Schizosaccharomyces pombe: one gene and its partners. The protein of the gene in region 2 interacts with the protein of the main gene of each other region in a pairwise test. Each region holds a gene or a part of one and is shown on either strand. Other genes may lie near its edges. The genes, in order: bir1, sgo2 and pds5.

What was found.
Region 1: the proteins of sgo2 (region 2) and bir1 interact in binary tests that used the Schizosaccharomyces pombe proteins (3 or more experiments, as listed by UniProt).
Region 3: the proteins of sgo2 (region 2) and pds5 interact in a two-hybrid assay, tested with the Schizosaccharomyces pombe proteins (one study listed by BioGRID).

The regions. Positions count from the first base shown.
Region 1 is NC_003421.2:544,787-551,788, reverse strand, and holds bir1 (survivin Bir1), read left to right. Parts: upstream 1-2,489; 5' UTR 2,490-2,640; coding exon 2,641-2,769; exon of another isoform or gene 2,770-2,816; coding exon 2,817-5,681; 3' UTR 5,682-5,984; downstream 5,985-7,002. Other genes in the region: importin alpha family nuclear import signal receptor adaptor Cut15, read left to right, coding at 1-1,316; tricalbin, C2 domain protein (phospholipid binding) ER-plasma membrane tethering protein Tcb1, read right to left, coding at 6,045-7,002. UniProt on the Schizosaccharomyces pombe protein: Component of the chromosomal passenger complex (CPC), a complex that acts as a key regulator of chromosome segregation and cytokinesis.
Region 2 is NC_003424.3:3,711,686-3,717,636, reverse strand, and holds sgo2 (shugoshin Sgo2), read right to left. Parts: upstream 3,496-5,951; 5' UTR 3,451-3,495; coding exon 3,414-3,450; exon of another isoform or gene 3,376-3,413; coding exon 3,336-3,375; exon of another isoform or gene 3,286-3,335; coding exon 3,053-3,285; exon of another isoform or gene 3,010-3,052; coding exon 2,942-3,009; exon of another isoform or gene 2,890-2,941; coding exon 1,324-2,889; 3' UTR 1,052-1,323; downstream 1-1,051. Other genes in the region: bud6 (actin-interacting protein 3), read right to left, coding at 1-831; protein kinase domain and HEAT repeat protein Ppk3, read right to left, coding at 3,877-4,258, 4,318-4,490, 4,541-4,669, 4,710-5,570, 5,623-5,724, 5,776-5,916. UniProt on the Schizosaccharomyces pombe protein: Involved in chromosome cohesion during mitosis and meiosis by preventing premature dissociation of cohesin complex from centromeres after prophase, when most of cohesin complex dissociates from chromosomes arms.
Region 3 is NC_003424.3:1,909,743-1,917,059, forward strand, and holds pds5 (mitotic and meiotic cohesin loader subunit Pds5), read left to right. Parts: upstream 1-2,105; 5' UTR 2,106-2,299; coding exon 2,300-5,917; 3' UTR 5,918-6,155; downstream 6,156-7,317. Other genes in the region: serine/threonine protein kinase Ppk1, read left to right, coding at 1-1,597; Rho family GTPase Cdc42, read left to right, coding at 6,366-6,413, 6,577-6,645, 7,076-7,317. UniProt on the Schizosaccharomyces pombe protein: Required for the establishment and maintenance of sister chromatid cohesion during S phase. Prevents their formation until eso1 is present. May also have a role during meiosis.

The DNA of each region.
Region 1 (7,002 bases), on a different chromosome or scaffold from region 2:
CTTTGTCTAAGGAGACAAACCCACCAATTCAAAAAGTTATTGATGCAGGCGTTGTCCCCCGCTTCGTCGAATTTTTATCTCATGAGAACAATTTATTAAAATTTGAGGCTTCTTGGGCTCTCACTAATGTGGCTAGCGGATCTTCCAATCAAACACACGTGGTTGTAGAAGCAAATGCTGTTCCTGTTTTTGTAAGCCTTTTATCTTCTTCTGAACAAGATGTACGCGAGCAAGCAGTTTGGGCATTAGGTAACATTGCTGGTGATTCACCCATGTGTCGTGATCATGTTTTGCAATGTGGAGTTTTGGAGCCTTTGCTTAACATAATCGAATCTAACAGGCGTCTTAGTATGCTCCGCAATAGTACTTGGACCCTGTCTAATATGTGCCGAGGCAAAAATCCACAACCCGATTGGAACAGCATTTCGCAAGTTATCCCTGTTCTGTCGAAATTAATTTATACCTTAGACGAAGATGTTTTAGTTGATGCCCTTTGGGCCATTTCCTATTTATCTGATGGCGCTAATGAGAAGATCCAAGCCATCATTGATGCAGGGATTCCTCGTAGGCTTGTTGAACTTTTAATGCATCCTAGCGCTCAAGTACAGACTCCTGCTCTCCGATCCGTAGGAAATATTGTTACAGGAGATGACGTTCAGACCCAGGTCATCATTAATTGTGGTGCTTTAAGTGCTTTACTTTCTTTGTTAAGCAGTCCACGCGATGGCGTTCGTAAGGAAGCCTGTTGGACAATTAGTAATATAACGGCCGGTAATTCTTCTCAAATTCAATATGTTATTGAAGCTAACATTATTCCTCCTTTAATTCATCTCCTTACGACCGCTGACTTTAAAATCCAAAAGGAAGCCTGCTGGGCCATTTCCAATGCCACATCCGGTGGCGCTCGTCGTCCCGACCAAATTCGCTACCTTGTAGAGCAAGGCGCAATCAAACCTTTATGTAATTTGCTGGCTTGTCAAGATAACAAGATTATCCAGGTTGCTTTAGATGGTATTGAAAATATTTTGCGAGTGGGTGAACTTGATCGCGCGAATAACCCTGATAAAATCAATTTATACGCCGTCTACGTTGAGGATGCTGGTGGTATGGATTTGATCCACGAATGTCAGAACTCATCTAATTCGGAAATTTACCAAAAAGCTTACAATATTATCGAAAAGTTTTTCGGTGAAGAAGACGAAATCGAAGAGCTTGAACCAGAAACCGTCGGTGATACGTTTACATTTGGAACTACACAAGAGCCTGCCGGCGATTTTCAATTTTCGGCGACTAATGCCGAAGATATGGCTATGTAATGATACTTCACATACATTATTCATTTATGCTTGTTTAGGTTTCGTTCTTTTTTAGATTGTTCATTTTCATAAACATCGAAGTGGCTTCATGATTTTGGCTGTGGTCCTGTGGTTTATAATATCGTTAAATTATTTCATTGAGCAATTGAGGATGCCGATTTTTTCATTTACCTTTACGTGTATGGCGCGATTGTTATTAGACGAGATTATTACATTTTAGGAGGTTTACCTAGACATACATTCCGCAGTTGTCACTCTTCTCATTTTGTTATATTGTTGTTTAATGATTGTGCTGGAAAGTTGAACATCTTGTACTTGTTAAATTATTTCTCAAGTCCGTCCTGAGTGTGCGTGTCGAAACGAACTTTTGTTTACTTTTTTTCATTCACTTTCTAACCAACGAATGGTTTATAGATCGTGGTTATTTTGTGAGTTTATTATTTGTTTTATTGACGAAACACAGGAATCATTCAACAGTTTTGGTCTTTGTTGTCGATTTAGTTGTAGCTTTTGGCTGCTCCACTACTAGATACAGGTTTTGTACCTTTGAAACAACATGGGACTAATTCAATTAATTTATTTTACATTGTCTTCATGATTGTACTTCCTCTATTGCTTAACTTTTATTTGAGGTTTTAGGAAGTTCAATATTTCCACCGCATTTGTCATCCTCTTTTCAACTTTTTTCTAATGAGACAGCTGATTCATCATTGTATTCATAACTTTGACCATCGCATCGAAAGAGGAAAATGAAATCAGATTTGTCTTGTTGATATGCATAGTTTCCTTTGAATAGCCATGAAAATGTAGCCTTATTCTTCTTTCACGATGCTCCATACTTTAGAGTTGGAGCTTTAATATTATTATATGTAACAATATTAGTACCAAACTATGATACATTACTTTGTGCTAGCAAAAATCTTCTAGTTAAATTTTGAATTTATTAACAAAGATCATAAGGCTGACATTAAAGACAATAATTGAATCTTCCTTACTCAATATAATATCTAAACCTAGTCATCTCGAAAAATTTGTAACCAGTGAACCTTCCATTTATTAAAGTCTGCTATACTACTTAACGACATTTTACGCAATATAACGACATTGTTCAATTACAGTAAACTCGTGTGCCCTAGCAATCTACAAAAAGTAAACATTACCCATATACGCCTTGCGAGGCGACCTTCCCTATCCTATGCATTTGGAAGTATCTGATATTGTCTAAAGACAATAACCAGAAGTTTTAAAAAAATTAATTTTATAGTTTTAAGGATCGGAAGTCGAAATTTGGTATCTAAATTTCACTTGTTGAAGCTTGCTCAGAATGAAACCGATAACGTCTTCTTCTAAACGCCGATGGAATCGGTTTCGAAGGGAAATGTGTAATTACTCTAAACGACTTGACACTTTCCAGAAAAAAAAATGGCCGCGAGCCAAACCGACGCCAGAAACTGTATGTTGACGATAGAGTTTTCATCTGTGTTGCTAACAAGAAAATAGCTTGCTACTGTCGGTTTCTATTACAATCCAATCTCTGAATCTAATTCTGAAGAAAGACTTGATAATGTTACATGCTATATGTGTACCAAGTCATTTTATGACTGGGAGGATGATGATGATCCATTGAAAGAGCATATTACTCATAGCCCCAGCTGTCCATGGGCATATATTTTATCCTCAAAAAACAATCCAAACCAGAACCCCCAAGCTGCAGCTCTCACAAAATGTCGAGAACAAACTTTTGTTGATAAAGTATGGCCGTATACCAATCGCCCTGATTATCACTGTGAGCCGAGTGTAATGGCTGCTTCTGGTTTTGTATACAATCCAACTGCTGATGCTAAAGATGCAGCTCATTGCTTATATTGTGATATTAATCTTCATGATTGGGAACCGGATGATGACCCTTACACCGAGCACAAACGCCGTCGTGCGGACTGTGTGTTTTTTACATGGAAAGACCCAAATAGCTTATCTCCTACTAAACTGTCTTTTTTATCTACGTCGAACATTGACCCTGAAGACTTGACCGAGGATAATTCCATTCTTCCCGTTTCTCCCACCCGAGATTCAACAAAATCTCATAAAACTTTAAATTTCTCCCCTAGTAGAAAGAATAATCTTAATGCACGTCCTTTAACAATGTCCCTTTATACTAATACCTCTGAGGAGAAAGACTCACAACCCACCCGTGCACCACAAAGTCCAACGAAGCCCGTTTTACTTACGGCTCCAAGGCGAAAAAATAAATCTCCAAAAAAATCAAAGCCAGCAGTCTTTAAACCTGTTAAGCCAATTTTTTCTGATGAAGACGAAGATGACGACGACTTGACCGCCTCTCAACCCTTCTCTAAAGGGATATGTAATGACTCTATGCAAGTAGCCAAAAAGAATTTTACAGAAGAAATTCCACTTAAAGAAGATGAAAAAGATAATGAGCTGGAACATCTTGTATCACCAGCTACATCCGTCCACACAACTGTTTCTGACATAACTGGACATCAATCTGTAACTGATGAAAGTGATGAGCAAAATAATTGTATGTCTACGCCGCCGAAAATTGAAATCGAATCAAAAATTGAAGAAGAAATATCTGTGGTTTCCAAATCAAAGGAAATTTCGTCTTCTGTTTCTTCTGTTGGTAAAGAGCAAAATCATACAGAAAAACAAGTTGCTATCGAAACTCCGGAACAGCAGAAGGTTGAAAAAGAAGATGAGCATTTAAATCTTCAAGGTTCGTTCATAGAGGAGTCCACAAAACAACCAATCTCTTCAAAGCCATCAACTTCATCTCCCGATATGACTGATGCTGCAACAGGAGGTAGAGTGTCTTCTTCAAGCTTCAGAGATAAAATATTACAAACCAATTTTTCACCAAGGAGTACAATAGATTCGTTTAGCAACATTTCAAAAAAGAGAAACTCGGAAGAAGCAAATGATGAAAATGACGAGACCAATTTGAAAATACCAATTCCTGAAAAGAAGAGAAAATTTCAAGAAGTTTTACAATCTAAAAACATTTTAGTTTCGTCTACTGAGGATTCACATGAACCAGTAAAAGTTACAGAGGACAGCCAAACTGCCATTCACGTTAGTAAATTTGAGGATCTTGAGAATAAGAGTATGGAGTCTGAACAGTCACTACAATTGCTTTCTGAATCTGAAAATGATGACAAACCTTTAATTGATCTAATTCCTCTCTTAGCAATTAAAAGGAAGGATAATCTTGTAAGCGGAGTTTTAGAGAAGGGAAAAAGTACCTCAACATCAAAAACAAAGTTTGATACATCAATAGTGGACTTTATAGAAAAACCAAAAACTGAAATTAGCGAAGTGCTTCCTGAGGAAAAAAGAAAGGCCATTTGCGATGAGTCCCAAACGGTTAGAGTTTCTATAGATAGAGGAGTGACCAAGACGAGAGACGTATCAAGTCCTGTTTCCGATGAAAAAAGTGAAAATGTTAATCATGAGGAAGCTAATTCTGGTCATACTGTCATGAATGTTCATTCAAGCCTGGATCCCCAGCCGATCGTACAACCCAATGAACTTGAATCAGGAAGTTACTTAAAGGATCTTCCTGACAGAAACGTCGGAAACTCCGAAAAAGTGACATTTCAAGAAGATGACATTAATTCTCCTAAGCTACAGAGCAAGAACAATCAAACCGTTGAAGCTGTTAATACAGAAACTTCTGATAAATTGCAAGAAAAGGAGGCCAACCATGAATTAGAAAATATTGAAAAGATTGAAGAAAAATTGACTGAGGTAGACAAAGTCTCGTTAAGTGATGCTTTTCCTGATCAAGAAATCAAAAATTCTAGGACTTCTGTACAGAATGGTACTAGATCAGTGTCGAAAAATACACCTGAGAAGGAAACGAAGGTAGATAAAATCGATAATGTAAGTAAAAAGGATGTTGAAACTTCACCTGGTTCTTGTGAAACCTCTTCAGCTTTCGCTAAAACTTACGCTGAGAAAGAAGTAACGAGTATAAATTTGCCAAGTGTCCGGAAGCCTTTAGATGAATCCTACTATGACCATTCGATCAGTCCATTTGATCCATTGTGCCAATCTTCATTTTTGGCTCCTCAAACTCCTGTCAAATCAAAACATGCTTTGCCCTTAGTTGAAGCAAATGCACCACCATGGGAACCCATAGATTTCTCGAGTCTATTAGAATCTCCAGTACCGAATCCTGTAGAGCCAAACAAACTAAGTGAAAAAGAACTGGATATGACCGTTGAGCAGTGGATTAAATTTATGTATGCTAAATGTGCAAAAGAGTTTGAAGAAGCCTGTGAAGAAAAAATAGAATGGTTACTGGAAGAAGGTAAGCGGGCGGAAGAATACATACAAAACTTATAATTTTACATATTGTGTTTCTGTATTTATGGACCGTCTCGCTTTAAGCGAAAATGTTGGCGGGCTACATTTTAAAGTAATGTGAACTAAATTTGTCTGAATGCACTGTCAGCGTCCTTTTCTTTCTTTTTCTTTTATGTTTCTTGTTTTGTTAATCGGATCCTCTTATTATCTGTATTTATATCAACACTACGCTAATCTGGTGATGTAGTCTTAATAATTCTTCTTATAGTATTTATTTTTTTGGCAGCACAATATACAAATATGGTACTATATTTGAGTCAATATGAATAGAATGAATTAAACAACAAGATAGTGAAAGTAAAGTATAACGAACGTTGAAAAGAACCGGAAGCATTACCCATACTACTCAGCTTCGACCTTAATTTCAACAGAAGATGAACCACCAATTACAACCCTAAATGTACCAATAGCATCTTCTTGAAATACCGCTTCACCCAGTTTAGTATGTCCAAGCAAGTTGGAAGTAACGGCTGAAATTCGAAGTTCGTCACCCAAACTCCATTTGACCGGAATCTCTTCGTTCCATGAGGGAGACGGGCCTTTCCGAGATTTGGTTTTAAAGCTGTGGTCTTGATTGTCTGTAACGATAATCTTTATAGTCTTATGAGGCATATTTTTACCTTGACCAACGTATACTTTATACTTTTTCTGTGCCAATTCAGGTGCTCCCGTAGTCTTGTCAATAGTGCTAGTTAAGGCAGCGTTTGCAGACTCAGGTGCAATAGCCGGTGGCACAGAAGCAGAAGAAGAAGCTTCCTGGGTTGTCGTGAGATCAGAGCGAGATGGATTCTTTTCCAAGGAACGCCTAAACATGCCCATTTTGGAAATTCCTTTTGCGCCCGAAATTATATGTTTACCAGTTCCAGTGACTCCATCAGCAACCCCCGTTACAGCTTTACTACCTACCGAGCCAATAGTAGTAACACCTGCGAGAGCTAAACCTCCAGCAGCTCCTACGCCGCCAACTACTAATTTAGCTCCCTTATTAGCAGCGTGTAAGAAATTATCTGCTAGTGTGACATCCAGTACTGCTTTGCGACGATGCCATCCAGGTACAAAGCGCAAAGATGCATTGATTGTACCAGTCTTTGAGTCCAACTTAATCGATTGCTGAGACTCAACGTTCGGTTCAAGCGATAACAAATCAATATTACTCGTTCCCAAAACATCTGGTTTTTCACCCATGTCCCAATCATAACAAACCAATTCCAAAACATCCAAAACTCGATTTTGCACTACAATGTCAGCCTCTTCATTCCAGACAGGATTTAAGTTCTTCTTAATCACTTTGCTTTTAAAT
Region 2 (5,951 bases):
GACAGATTCAACAGTGATATTCCTCAAATTCTGAGAAGATCCCTCATTGTTTTGCTGGTCTTTTACCATGTGTGACAGTCGTTTGCTAGCTCGGCGTTCGAGAGCATTTGTCTGCTTCAATGCATCAAAGGCTCCAGGAGCACTTAATGAGGCACTCGTAGTTTCTTCATATTGCTTTCTCGAATCAGGATTTCTAAATGATGATATGCTTCCTTGGGAAGAACCACGACTATTACGGCGATTAACATCGTTATCATTCGCTTCACGGGTCATTTGAGGCAAATTTGACCTAGATTGATTTAATCTGGATTTAACCAGAGATTGCTTATACTTCAAGCTTTGTAGGAGGTGCATAACCAGCTCCCTTACGTTAGGAAGATTGGTCTCCAAAGCATCAGAAGATGGTGTTTTTTCCAGTGTTTGCTCTAGGACTGATCTGAGTTCTAGCGGAAAATCATTTAAATCTGCAGTTTCAATACCAGCTTCATGAAAGGACTTGGTTGTCTGAAGGAATTCCCCTATTAGAGTAACATAAACGGATGAAACAGCACTATCATTAACTGTACCTTTGCTCCAGTTTGTTAAGCTTTCAAGAAGCTCCTTTGTTACAACTAAAAGCTTCATTATCGATGTCTCGATTGTACTAATTAAATGAGACGCTGCATCTCTTGACAAAGGGCTGTTGGACGCGCCATTAGGTACAGGCTTCCGATTTGAGTCGGAAGGGACTAATCTTCGAGAAAAATTTGCTCGAGATTCAGTCTTTTGTCTTTGCATTGAATGATTGGAAGAAAAACGTTCACGAGACATATTATCGCCGTTATTAAACATTGGTCCCAATAGATGAGTAAAGCAATGATCCTAATCGCAAAAAAAGGATTGAAAGTTCAACTTAAACTTAAAACAATAAACATAAGAGAAAACACAAAACCAATTAGGTTTGTTATATACAAAACATAAGAATATTGACTTATTAGACTCAGTTGCGTAGGTTAGTACTTCCACCGAGGGCGATCGAGGTACACTAGAAATGGACTACTTGATGAATGTGCTAAGGTACATAGTAAATTGAATTTGTGAGGATTGCTAAGTAATTTTATAATATATTTACACACCTGTTTATTGTATTTAACTAACCAAACCATATATTTGTACATAACGTTAATGACAAGAACAAAATGTGAATAAACAAAGAAAGAAGTAATATGAAATACCAAAGGTTAACTCCCAAAATATTGACTTTTTATTTCAAATTGACGCATACCTCCACTTAAAAAATCTGAACCAACTAAACGATGTCGAAAGGTATTTAATTACATAATATTACAAATTAAGGGTTTCGGAGTTTTCAAGGGTTACTTCTGAAGTAGTGGGTGCTTCAGAAGTAATGTTTGCGGTTTCTGTTTTGGTAGCTGAATCATTCTCAGAGTTCTTAGGAGCACGTCTCGTTTTTTTAGCTTTTACATGATCTGAAGGTAAATCGAAATTCCGTCTTAATTTCGTCCTTAATCCAGGCAAAGCGTAATTAACCTTTTTCCGTTCCCTTCGGCTCCTTCCATCAGGTTTTTCATTTGGCTCATTGACTACTGTACTTTCTTCAGAAGTTTCTTGAATCCGAGCTTTTCTTCGCCTTTTCACTTTTGTTTCTCTTCGCGACTGAGTTTTCGTCACACGATCGTTCTCATTAGGGGATTTCAAATTCGTTACAGATGACAGAAGTTCCAAATTATTATAGGAGCCCGTATCGTTGGTAGCAAAGGAGCTACGTGACGGCTCAATTTCGTAAGGTCGATCTTCAGCATTCAATATTCCTTGTAGCGATGGCGGACGTAACGGAGAATTATTGGGATGGGCTATTGAAAATCCATTTGAAGATGGAGGTTCACTTGACAGTCTCATGGGAGGATTTCGAAAAAGTGTTAAAATTTCCCGCTCTTCGTCGGTAAAAGATTTAGGATTCAGTCCAATTTTGTTAGAGTCATTCATTATTTCTACAGAAAATTTTTCGTTCCCATTAGTGACAGAAGAGTCTACTAACCCGTTTATTTCCCTTGGAGTGTCTGTACGAGGAGATTCAGCAACAGTCATATTTGACAGAGAAGTCGTCGTAACCTGAGGCCCAACATTCTCTTGTGAAGTTAATGAATTATGCGCAGTATCTTCAGGCGCAAACTTCAACGATATGGAGCTATTTAAATTAGGATCTGAAATATGATGCCCATTTCGGTTACTTTTATTTGAAGATTGCACAAGAAGGACAGCAGAATCCAAAGAGTTTGCGCGATTGGGGCGACTATCGGTCTCCGATACATAACCGGTAACATTGGTAGCTGCAGAAGCCAGATTAATTTGTTTATTTTGAATGTCAACGTCCCATTTCCGTTTAGTGGGTGTACTTTGTATTACTGTATCAGATTGTATTCTGCTATGAAAATGAGCTTCTTGTGAACCCTCATTTTCTTCTTGAGCAACTCCATTTGCATTATCTTCTTCGGTTCTTCTTTGTGCAGCTGCTTGATTATTAATTTTGTTGGATAATGATTTTGGACTAACGATTTCGTATTCATGATTTTTTTCCTGAGGAGCAGAATCGATAGATTTATTTTCAGAAGTAACCGCTTCAACTCTATCTTCATTATTATTATTTACAGGTTTCGAATTGGATAGATTGTAAGGATTTTCAAAATCAGCTGGGAGGGCTTTGCCGGATTTTAGCTGAGGTGCTGATTGCGTGTCGGAAAAAACATTAGCTTCTCTTTTTTTTTGTTCATTTATAGCAGTTTCTCCGTCATCAATTATATTTTCATCCTCTATTCCACTTAAATTTCGTAAGGAAACATCATGCTGAGCTTGCTCAATTATTTCTTCGGTATCTTTCACGACGGATTCCTTTCAGACGTTAGATAAACATATCTGAAAAACATAATACGATTCAACTTACCTCGTCAAGGTCTTCAGAATCCGTATCGACATCGTAAGCTAAGTTAGCCTCCACTGGTTTGAAGGTGTCTGTGTTCAATTAGCTAAAAACGATATGAATTCAAACACGTACCTTGTATTTCTTGCTGACAAAGACTTAATTTTGATAAAAAATTATCTGTTTCTTCATGAAATCGATTAAGTAATGCAGCTAACTTTGTTTTGTTTTCTTCGTTTTCGTTTTGCACGGTTTCGAGTTGCTCTTCCAAGTTTATCGCTGTAGTCCTCAAATCGATATTTTCCGAAAGCAACCGTTCATTTTCTAACTGCAATTCTTTAATTCTAATTGATTGTGCCTTGCTTATTCTTTGTATGTGTTAATTAATTATTCAATTCCAACAAAAATGTATGCGTACCGTATAATTTCCTTATACTGTCGAATTTGCTTTTTTTTCACTAATTCATCAGTTGAGATTAATATAAGTATCACGTACAGTCTTCTACGTTCGGGGAAAGAGATGCTTTCGACATTATAAATAGAAAATCCCGATGTACTTCATTGACCACGTTCCCGGTGGAGGTTTAGTACTTAAACGCGGCTGTACAGCAGTATCATTATCAACAAGGTGTAGAGGTGCTGGATAGTCGAAGTACGAATTATTTGACTACTAATGATACACTCTTTGAAAAGAACATTAAAATCCTTTTACATTTACTATACTTTGAATTTACGAATAGATAGATAACTAAAGAAAGAACTACCATTCACTAATCCTTTCAGTGGTATTAATAAATGTTCAAAGAGAAAAATAATTAGCTATTAAAAATATTAATTATTAAAAATCAAGCTTGATTGAAATATGTCAAAACGAGTAGTACATGGAGTACTTAGTCGACATGTGATTTAGTCGTGAATTAATCTTGACCACGAAAAATTATTAATTAAATTCAATCAAATTATAACCCCCAACTTTCCTCTACGTTATTTTCTGTTTCCTCTTCGTCATTCCAGTTTTCCATCCAAGATTCGTCTATCTGTTCCTCTGTTTCAAAAAGAGGATTATTGAATTCATCCTTAGAGTTTTCAGTGTTTCCAACAACTCTACTTTTTGAATTTTTTTTTTCTTTTATTTCAGTGGTATCATTTTTTAACTCAAGCGACTCCTTTTTCATATCGATAGAAGGCGAAGGAGAAGCAGAAGATGAATGAATAAATTTGGACCAAAAAGAACCATTAAATTTTGCCGGTGCGGAAACATTTTCTTTTTCCCCTAAATTAAAGTTTTTTATACGGCTCAAAAATTGGTCAGTGACATCCTCAGCTGTTCTTCGTATTCCTCTAATAACGTCAAAAAGTTAGTAATTCCTAAGTGGTATACAGGTTCAAAAAAATCTTACTCGTTTTCATCAATTAGTAATGGCACCACCGATGGGAAAAGTTTGATGGCCACATCCTTTGTATCAAAGTAATTTTGAACTGAGAGGAGTACTTTTAAGGCTGCCTCTCTAGCAGGAACAAATGGGTCTTTAAGAGAACGTGATAAAGCAGCAGCTAAAACGGGTTTTCGCACCTAAATCTGTTAAAAATAAAGTCCTAACGTTTAGTTCTTCTTAGTCTTACGCTGGCATCTAAATATTCAGCAATTTTACCTAGACAAATGGTACTGTTGGTACGTAAAGTAGGATGTTGGTCATTTTGGACAACCGCTAAGCTTCGTAGTAGTTCATTATTCAATGTTTTCTTCGAAAGCTGTATACTAATTAGCAATTTGTAAGATAAGATGGCTTACTTTTGGTGCTATAATGGAAAAAACAACAATAGCATGTTCTTTTAAGGTGGGAGAATTGGAGCGCACAAGGTTCGCGAAAACTGAAAAGCTAGTGTCTTCATATATATTCTTTGGTAGCACGTCGGGATTGTTAATGATTCCGGAAAGTAGCAAGCCTCGTATGGGAACGCTTTGTTGTTTCAAAAGAGACAATAACGGTACTCCAAAGTCTTTTTCTATATCCGGTCTTCCTTTTACAATTTGAGCACATTTGAATAGAAGCTCAACGACGTCCGAATGGGTGTCAATCGATAATAGTAGAAAGAGGATGTTTAATACAACCTTTTGTATATAGTTTTTAGGAATTACTTCTAGCTTTGACGAAAGAAGTTGTTTTAATTTCACTCTATCTTCCTCTTCGTTTATTCGAACCTCGGACAAAAGTTCATATAACGTAATCAAATGTGTACGAAAAAACCCCCCAGGACGCTCGCCAAGTTTTAGAAATTCTGAAGCTAATAACTTTTGCTTTCCTTCCACATTCAACAGTTTTTTTGCAGAAACAAATATATTGGCTGGAATGTTTCCACGCTGAGATAAGTCCCCTGGCGTTCCATTATAAAGATGAGAAATGAACTTTCCCAATTCATAAGAATCCAAGTAAATGAATGAAGCACTATTTAATGTTGAAGACTGAATTTCAAACGGAACCAACCGACTCCAGTTCAGAATTTTGTCATGATTATCCTTTATAAATTGTGGTGAATCACCTGCTAAGAAAAAGTCGCCTATTATCCATTCATCTGCACTATTAAGATAAACAGAAGACATTTGAAGGTTTCCATGAACAATATTTTTATCATTGAGAAATGACAATGCAGCCTAAACACGTTTAAATTAGTTTTAATCCACATTTTGAACTCAAATTACATACCGAAACCCTCCAAAGGCCGTAAGTTTTTATTTCCGCAGATAGTTCATTCAGTTCAGTTGTGACAGGTCTTACAGTTTCCGTTGCAATGTACAAGTGAGTGGACTGAACTATTAGTAAATAGGAAAAATATGTAAAGGCTTAGATTAGACTTACGCTTTTATAAGTACTTAGATATTTGATTATACAAGGATGACGAAGGGTCTTCATTGTCTCACAAGCTCGGTCAGCAAGTTCAGCCCATTCAGGATGAGTTGACAGAGAAATAGAGAAAACGCTACACGGCTGGGCAGACTCCTACATTAAAATTGTAAGTACTAGAATAAAGAAAA
Region 3 (7,317 bases), 1.8 Mb from region 2:
TATATTGGGAAGGACAATCGGTACCGGCGAGTTTGGAAAGGTTAAACTTGGCTGGCCTTTACCAAAAGCCAATTCTACTATTCACCGCTCAACACCGCAAGTTGTAATTAAAATAGTTTTGTCTACGAAGCAAAACTGTCAAACAAGCCGATTGATGCGAGAGGTGGCCATTTTAAAAGGTTTGGGTAATAATCACCCCCATATTGTAAAATATTTGGATTTTGTAAAAACTAAACATCATTTTGGTATAGTACTAGACTATGTTAATGGTGGTGAACTTTTTGATTATATACTGGCGCGCCGAAGACTTGAAGATTCGGTTGCTTGCCGACTGTTCGCACAATTAATAAGTGGTGTTGCCTATTTACATTCTCGAGGAGTGGTACATAGAGATCTGAAGTTGGAGAATATATTGCTAGATACTAATCGAAATATCGTAATTGCGGATTTCGGCTTTGCGACTACTTTTGGGCACTTTAATACTCTCAGTGAACACTCATTGCCCACGGAAAAGCCAGATTTATTTAGTACATCATGTGGATCGCCTTGTTATGCGGCCCCTGAATTAGTGAATTGCAAGTCTGGAATGTATGCTGGCACACAAGCAGATATTTGGAGTTGCGGTGTCATTTTATATGCAATGTTGGCTGGGTATCTACCATTTGACGATGATCCACACAATCCAAATGGAGAAAATGTCCCTCGACTCTATCGGTATATTTGCAGTACTCCTTTAATATTTCCGGAGTTCTTTAAAAGCAAAGCTCGCGACATTCTTAAAAAAATTTTAGTTCCTGATCCAGCAAAACGTGTCCGAATGTCAGCAATTATGAATCACGCATATCTCCGGTCTCATGTGTCTCTATTTGAAACGTATAACGATGATGAAGCGACCTCACTGCGTCCGTCTCCCATCCGTTTGCTTTCTCAAAAATCTTTAGCTAGTGTTTCTTCAGTTTCGTCAATCAGCACTTACTCTTCTTCCATTGAATTGACTCCTCAGATCACAAAAACTTCATTAAATCGAGAAAAACCGGCATTACATGGCAGCATCAATCTTAAACACTCAACGAGGCCGGTTGTACCAATTGCAGATGGTATCTATGCTTCTACTACTCTTCATCCAATCGATAATGCTAAAAACCGCTTGGTTTCTTTACTGCGCCGTCCCAAGCATAAGGTTAAGCATGCCAAAGTTGAAACACGTGAATCTCCTATGAAAAATAAGCCAACTAAGAAACAACACAAGCGTGCATTTAGCATGTTTGAGAGGCCCACTTCTCAGAAAGCCCCATTGTCACCAGTAGAAAGCAAGATTAACCTTATGGTTGCTCCTAAACGTGTATTAAATTGTGCTTCAGATTCTTTAAGAGCTTTATTAGCAGGAAAGACGGATAAATCTTTTTGGGGTTCACGTATACCATTCTTGTTTAATAAATTGAAATCCAAACAGAAGGCTGTATCCAGCTCCTTCAATACGGAAAACTCATTTTTAATTCTTCAAGCAGTTTCGCCTTTAACTTTTGGAGGTTGTTTCAAAGAAGAAAACGCGTATGGGCAGAAGAAGCAGCACATGAGACACGCTACCGTTTTTTAATGTTTGCGTTACGATATTGTATATCTCAACAATGCATGATAATTATCAAACTGCCTGTTTCCTATATTAGTTTTTTAAAAAGATGGCTCTTCGACTTTTTCTTAAGAAAAGCGGTTTATATGGTTATCAATTATTAAAGCTTGAATTGATTGTTTGACAATGTTGAACAATGGGTTTCCTAAAAAAAGACGCTTTAGCTGATTTTTATCGTTTATCAGCGTGTATATTACTTGCCTTGTACTTTACAGTTTCCGCTTTTCATCTTTATTCTAACTTTTTATTTTAATTTTTAATTTTTTGGTACAAGCACCTTTCGTTCTTTAAACTACTTTTAAACTATTAAATTTCTTTCACTCATATGTCCTTATATCTAATTCACTCGTTAATAATATTTTATCATTACCCTTGAGTTATACTTATTAGTAAATAGTGTAATATTTTAATTACAATAAATGGAACGCGTTCTTTTACGCGTCTCTTCTTTAAGCAAGTACATTGCGAGTCTAACACGAACGTAATAAAGAGTTGAGCACCACATTTTGAAATCGCATCTTTCAAGCTTCAATATTGCGAAGTACTAATTAATAAAATCAGCCTATGGCTCTTATGGATATAGAGCATTGAAAGTTTACTGCATTTGTCATTTATTTGTTAAATACCCAAGGTGAATAGTACAAAAGCGTGCAAAAGCCAACTTTTGCGATGATAAAGTTACAGTTTCAAAGAAACATTGTCCCAACACATGACAATCCGTTAACGACTTCCGAGATTTTAAAACGACTACGTGATTTACTAGGAGAGCTTACTAGCCTATCCCAAGATACTATCGACCGTGACTCAGTATTGCCAGTAGCACGATCATTAGTAAATAACAATTTGCTCCATCACAAAGATAAAGGGATACGCTCTTATACACTTTGTTGTATTGTTGAATTGCTTCGTTTATGTGCCCCCGATGCGCCCTTCACTTTATCACAATTGGAAGATATTTTCCAAGTAATTCTCAAAATTCTTAGTGGTCTTATGAATCAAGAATCTACTTATTATCCACAAATTTACGAGATATTAGAGAGTTTGTCGAACGTTAAATCTGCAGTTCTAATAGTTGATCTCCCGAATGCTGAAGAATTCTTAGTAAATATCTTTCGTCTCTTCTTTGATTTAGCGAGAAAGGGTACTACCAAGAATGTCGAGTTTTACATGCTTGATATTATTAACCAGTTGATCAATGAGATTAACACCATTCCTGCTGCTGCCTTGAACATACTATTTGCTCAACTAATATCAGGAAAGGGCGTAAGGCAAACAATTGGCTCTTCCGATTCTACTAATCACGGTCCAGCTTTTCAACTAGCGAGAAATATTTTTCATGACTCAGCAGATCGACTACAAAGATATGTTTGCCAGTATTTCTCAGATATTATATTCGATTCAAGAGATTCGCTTTCTGACTCCATGACTACTCCAGAATTTATATTCTCGCACAATTTAGTTTTACAATTATGGAAATATGCACCAACCACGTTATTGAACATTATTCCACAATTCGAAAATGAATTGCAAGCTGAACAAACTAGTGTGCGACTTGTGGCGATAGAAACTGTTGGTTTGATGCTCCAAGACAACGCCATATGGTCCGATTATCCTAGGGTATGGAGTGCATTTTGTGGTCGGCTCAATGATAAATCAGTTGCATGTCGTATCAAATGCATTGAAGTTGCTTCCAACGCTCTTCAGAATTCATTGGCTACTTCTGAGATAATTGAAAACGTAGTTCAAATGCTTCAATCAAAGTTGGCCGACACGGATGAAAAGGTGCGGGTTGCTACTCTTAAAACGATCGAACAGTTGACTTTCGAAACCTTTAAAATGCAATTTTCAGTACAGGCTTTGAAACTCATGGGTGACCGTTTACGTGATCGTAAACTCAATGTTCGTTTACAAGCAATTCGGACACTAAGTCAAATTTATAATAGAGCATATCAAGACCTTATAGATGGTGTGGAATACTCAATACAGATGTTCAGCTGGATCCCTTCATCTCTTTTGGAAGTATTTTATGTTAATGATGAAACAACTAATGCGGCTGTTGAAATTTGTATGGCTGAACTGGTCCTACAATACCTTAGTTCTGATACGCAAACAAGGTTAAACAGGCTTTTCCTTTCAATAAAGTATTTTAGTGAAAAAGCGATGCGAGTTTTTATTCTACTTTTACAAAGACAAGTTAAGTATTCGGAACTCTTAAATTACTACATTGAGTGCTGCAAAAATTACAATGGAGGTGTTATGGATAATGATGAAGAGTCAATTACCAACAAGCTTAAGAAGGTGATTGATATCATATCATCAAAAAGTTCTAATCCTACATTAACAGAAGCCACTTTCAGAAAATTTGCGGAACTTAATGATCGTCAAAGCTACAAAATGCTTTTACAAACGTTTTCCATTAAAAGTGAATATCAAGTTGTTTTAAAAAGCATAAAATATTTATTTAAAAGGGTTTCTGAAACGTTGAGTACCGCAAGTCTTGAATGTTTTAGAATATTCGTTTACCGTTCAGCTCTGTTTGCTTTTAATAAAAGCAACGTGCATGAAATAATTCAATTATTAAATGAACCTGTAAAATACCACAATTTCCTTAAGCCGTCGGAGGCTCTTTTACAGCATTTACCGCTAATTCATCCCAACATATATGGAGAGGTTGTTATAGAAGTTGAAAATATTATAGTTTCTTCGGGCATTGAATCGGATCCTAAAGTAATTAAAGCTCTTTCCCAATTCTCCAAAAGAAAAAAAAATTTTTCTATACAAACAACAACTGCTGAAATACTACGAAAGTTGTGTCTACATGGAACACAGGAACAAGCCAAACAGGCAGCGACGATTATCGCTATAACGGAGACGAAAGAATTCAAACTCGATATGATAACGAATATCGTGGAAAATTTGGAGTATAATGGAGGACTTCCTGTACGGCTTATGACTTTAGGACAACTATTTCTATACACTTTAGAAGAGGTAGAGAAGGTTGCTGACCAAGTTACAGAATTTTTAGTAAAAAAAGTTATACAGCGCTTTCCTGAAAAATATGATGATACGCATAATGATGAGGAATGGTGTACTTACGAAAAATTAGATAATCTTACCATGTGCAAAGTTTTAGCAATTAGGGTTTTGGTTAATCGACTGAGGGCGGCGGCAGGAGGAACCGAAGCGTTAAATATTGGAGCTCCTATCATTAAGCTATTGAAAGTATTGTTAATGGCTGACGGTGAATTAAGTCCGTTCAAGAATACTCCCAAAATTTCTCGTGCTTATTTACGTCTCACTGCTAGCAAATATTTTTTAAAGTTATGTTCCATTCCTTTTTATGCGGAACATATAGATTTTAGTTCTTACGTTCAAATCTCCTTATTATGCCAAGATGAAAATTTTGACGTGAGAAATTTATTTTTGACGAAGCTTCAGAAGCAGCTGCAACTTAAAAAGTTGCCAATTAGTTATTATCCTTTATTGTTCCTGACTGCTGTTGATCCGGAAGAGGAGATCAAGACTAAAGCGTCTATATGGATACGTTCTCAGGTTGCTTTTTTCCAGAAAACCCATGATTTTACCATGGAATATGTAGCAACATATCTTATCCATCTTCTCTCTCACCATCCAGACATATCTTCGATAGAATCAGAGAACTCGCTTGATTTTATTGCATACATTCGCTTTTACGTTGACACTGTTGTTAATAGTGAGAACGTCCCAATCGTTTTTCATCTAATGCAACGCATAAAACAAAGCTATGATGTTATTGAAGATGGAAACAATTACATTTATGTGCTAAGCGACATGGCTCAGAAAATATTGCAGGTGAAATCCCAGAACTTTGGATGGAGTTTGACTACGTATCCAAAGCAAATTAAATTACCTTACGAAATTTTAAGACCAATTCCCTCTATAGATGAGAAAAAGAGAATTTTCAATAAAATCTTCATAACGCCTAAAATGGAAAGTCAGATTGAACATGCTATAAGGACACCAGTCTCATCTTTTGCGAAACAGACTACCAATAAGCACGCAAATTTGAAGCAAAAGAAGACTCATAGCTCAAAGAGCGATAAAAAATCGTCTAGAAGAAGGAAAAACGAAAAAAGGAGAAAGCTAAATGAGCAGAATCCTAATATTAGGAACGTGCCAGAACGAAGTAGCTCAAGATTTCAAGGGATTCGTATAAATTATTCGGAAGCACCGTCTTCAAGTGAGGAGATAAGCGAAGAAGAGGAGGAAATTAGCGAAGAAGATTTTGATGAAATAGAGGATTTATAAAAAAGGCTTATTTGGATGCGAAATACCGATACTAGAACACTTACCCAATATTACCAATGAATTTTCAATGTTAATTAGATAAATTGCTATCTTTTTTGTTAAACAATCTATGCTTGCTAATTGCCTAAACTTTTGAAAGATGACTCCATCACATACATGCCTCCATAACTTCTGCATCTATTAATTTTTTTCATTCCTAGTAATATAATAATAAAAGTTGCATTTTTGAGTTTTTTTACGCTTTACAATTCGTAAAATCTAATAGTGAGATTGGATTAGCCGCTGTAGTATATCTTAATAAAGCATGGCTGGGCGAACTAATTACGGTGACCGCACAATATATTTACCTACAACCAACACCGGTGTTTGATACTTAGGGGTTTGAACTTTCTAGGAATTCAATAAAGTGAAGCAAAGCTTTACGATTAATTATTTTTTGTGAAATAGTATGCCCACCATTAAGTGTGTCGTAGTAGGAGACGGTGCTGTAGGAAAGGTGAGTTGATGTTTACGGAAGGTGAAGTTAAGCAATGCATAAAAAAATACAAGAATTGCTATCATCTAAAATGAAGTTTCTTTTGTCTATACATTCCCCTTTATTTCTTTCTTTCCAAAAATTGTTCTTTTGAGTTTTACACATACTGACCGTTTGAATGTAGACCTGTCTGCTTATTTCCTATACTACAAACAAGTTTCCTAGTGACTATGTGCCAACTGTATTCGATAATGTAAGTATAATTAGTTGTTTATGGAATGAAGTACTTGGTGAAGTTTTGTCCCCATATTAGAAATTTTTTACTATTCAAATGTTCGGTCACGGAAAATTTTGATATAAGGCTTTTTGTCAAAAAAAGGCTGAAGGATTAAACAATGACTCAATGTATTTATCGATTTTATCTCAGAAACTATTGAAAGTTTAATAATTTTTTTTTATCCGATGCTTTTTTTTTTCCACACTAGATCTAAAGACCGTAGGAAGCCTTATCTCGTAAGGAATAAGATGAGGCGACCACTTTCTTTCCCAGGAAGATTTGGTCGTTATTATTTCTGCTATTTGCTATATTGGGGACTATTCTAACTTTCTTGTTGCTTTTACTCCCGTTTTTAATTGATATAGCTGATTTTCATTTTATAGTAAAGATTTACTGACTAAAATAGTATGCTGTCACTGTCATGATCGGTGATGAACCATACACTCTTGGTTTATTCGATACCGCTGGTCAGGAGGATTATGATCGCTTGCGTCCTTTATCCTATCCTCAAACAGACGTCTTTTTGGTTTGTTTTAGTGTAACTTCTCCTGCCAGTTTTGAAAATGTGAAAGAAAAGTGGTTTCCCGAAGTTCATCATCATTGTCCGGGCGTCCCGTGCTTAATTGTTGGTACCCAAATTGATTTACG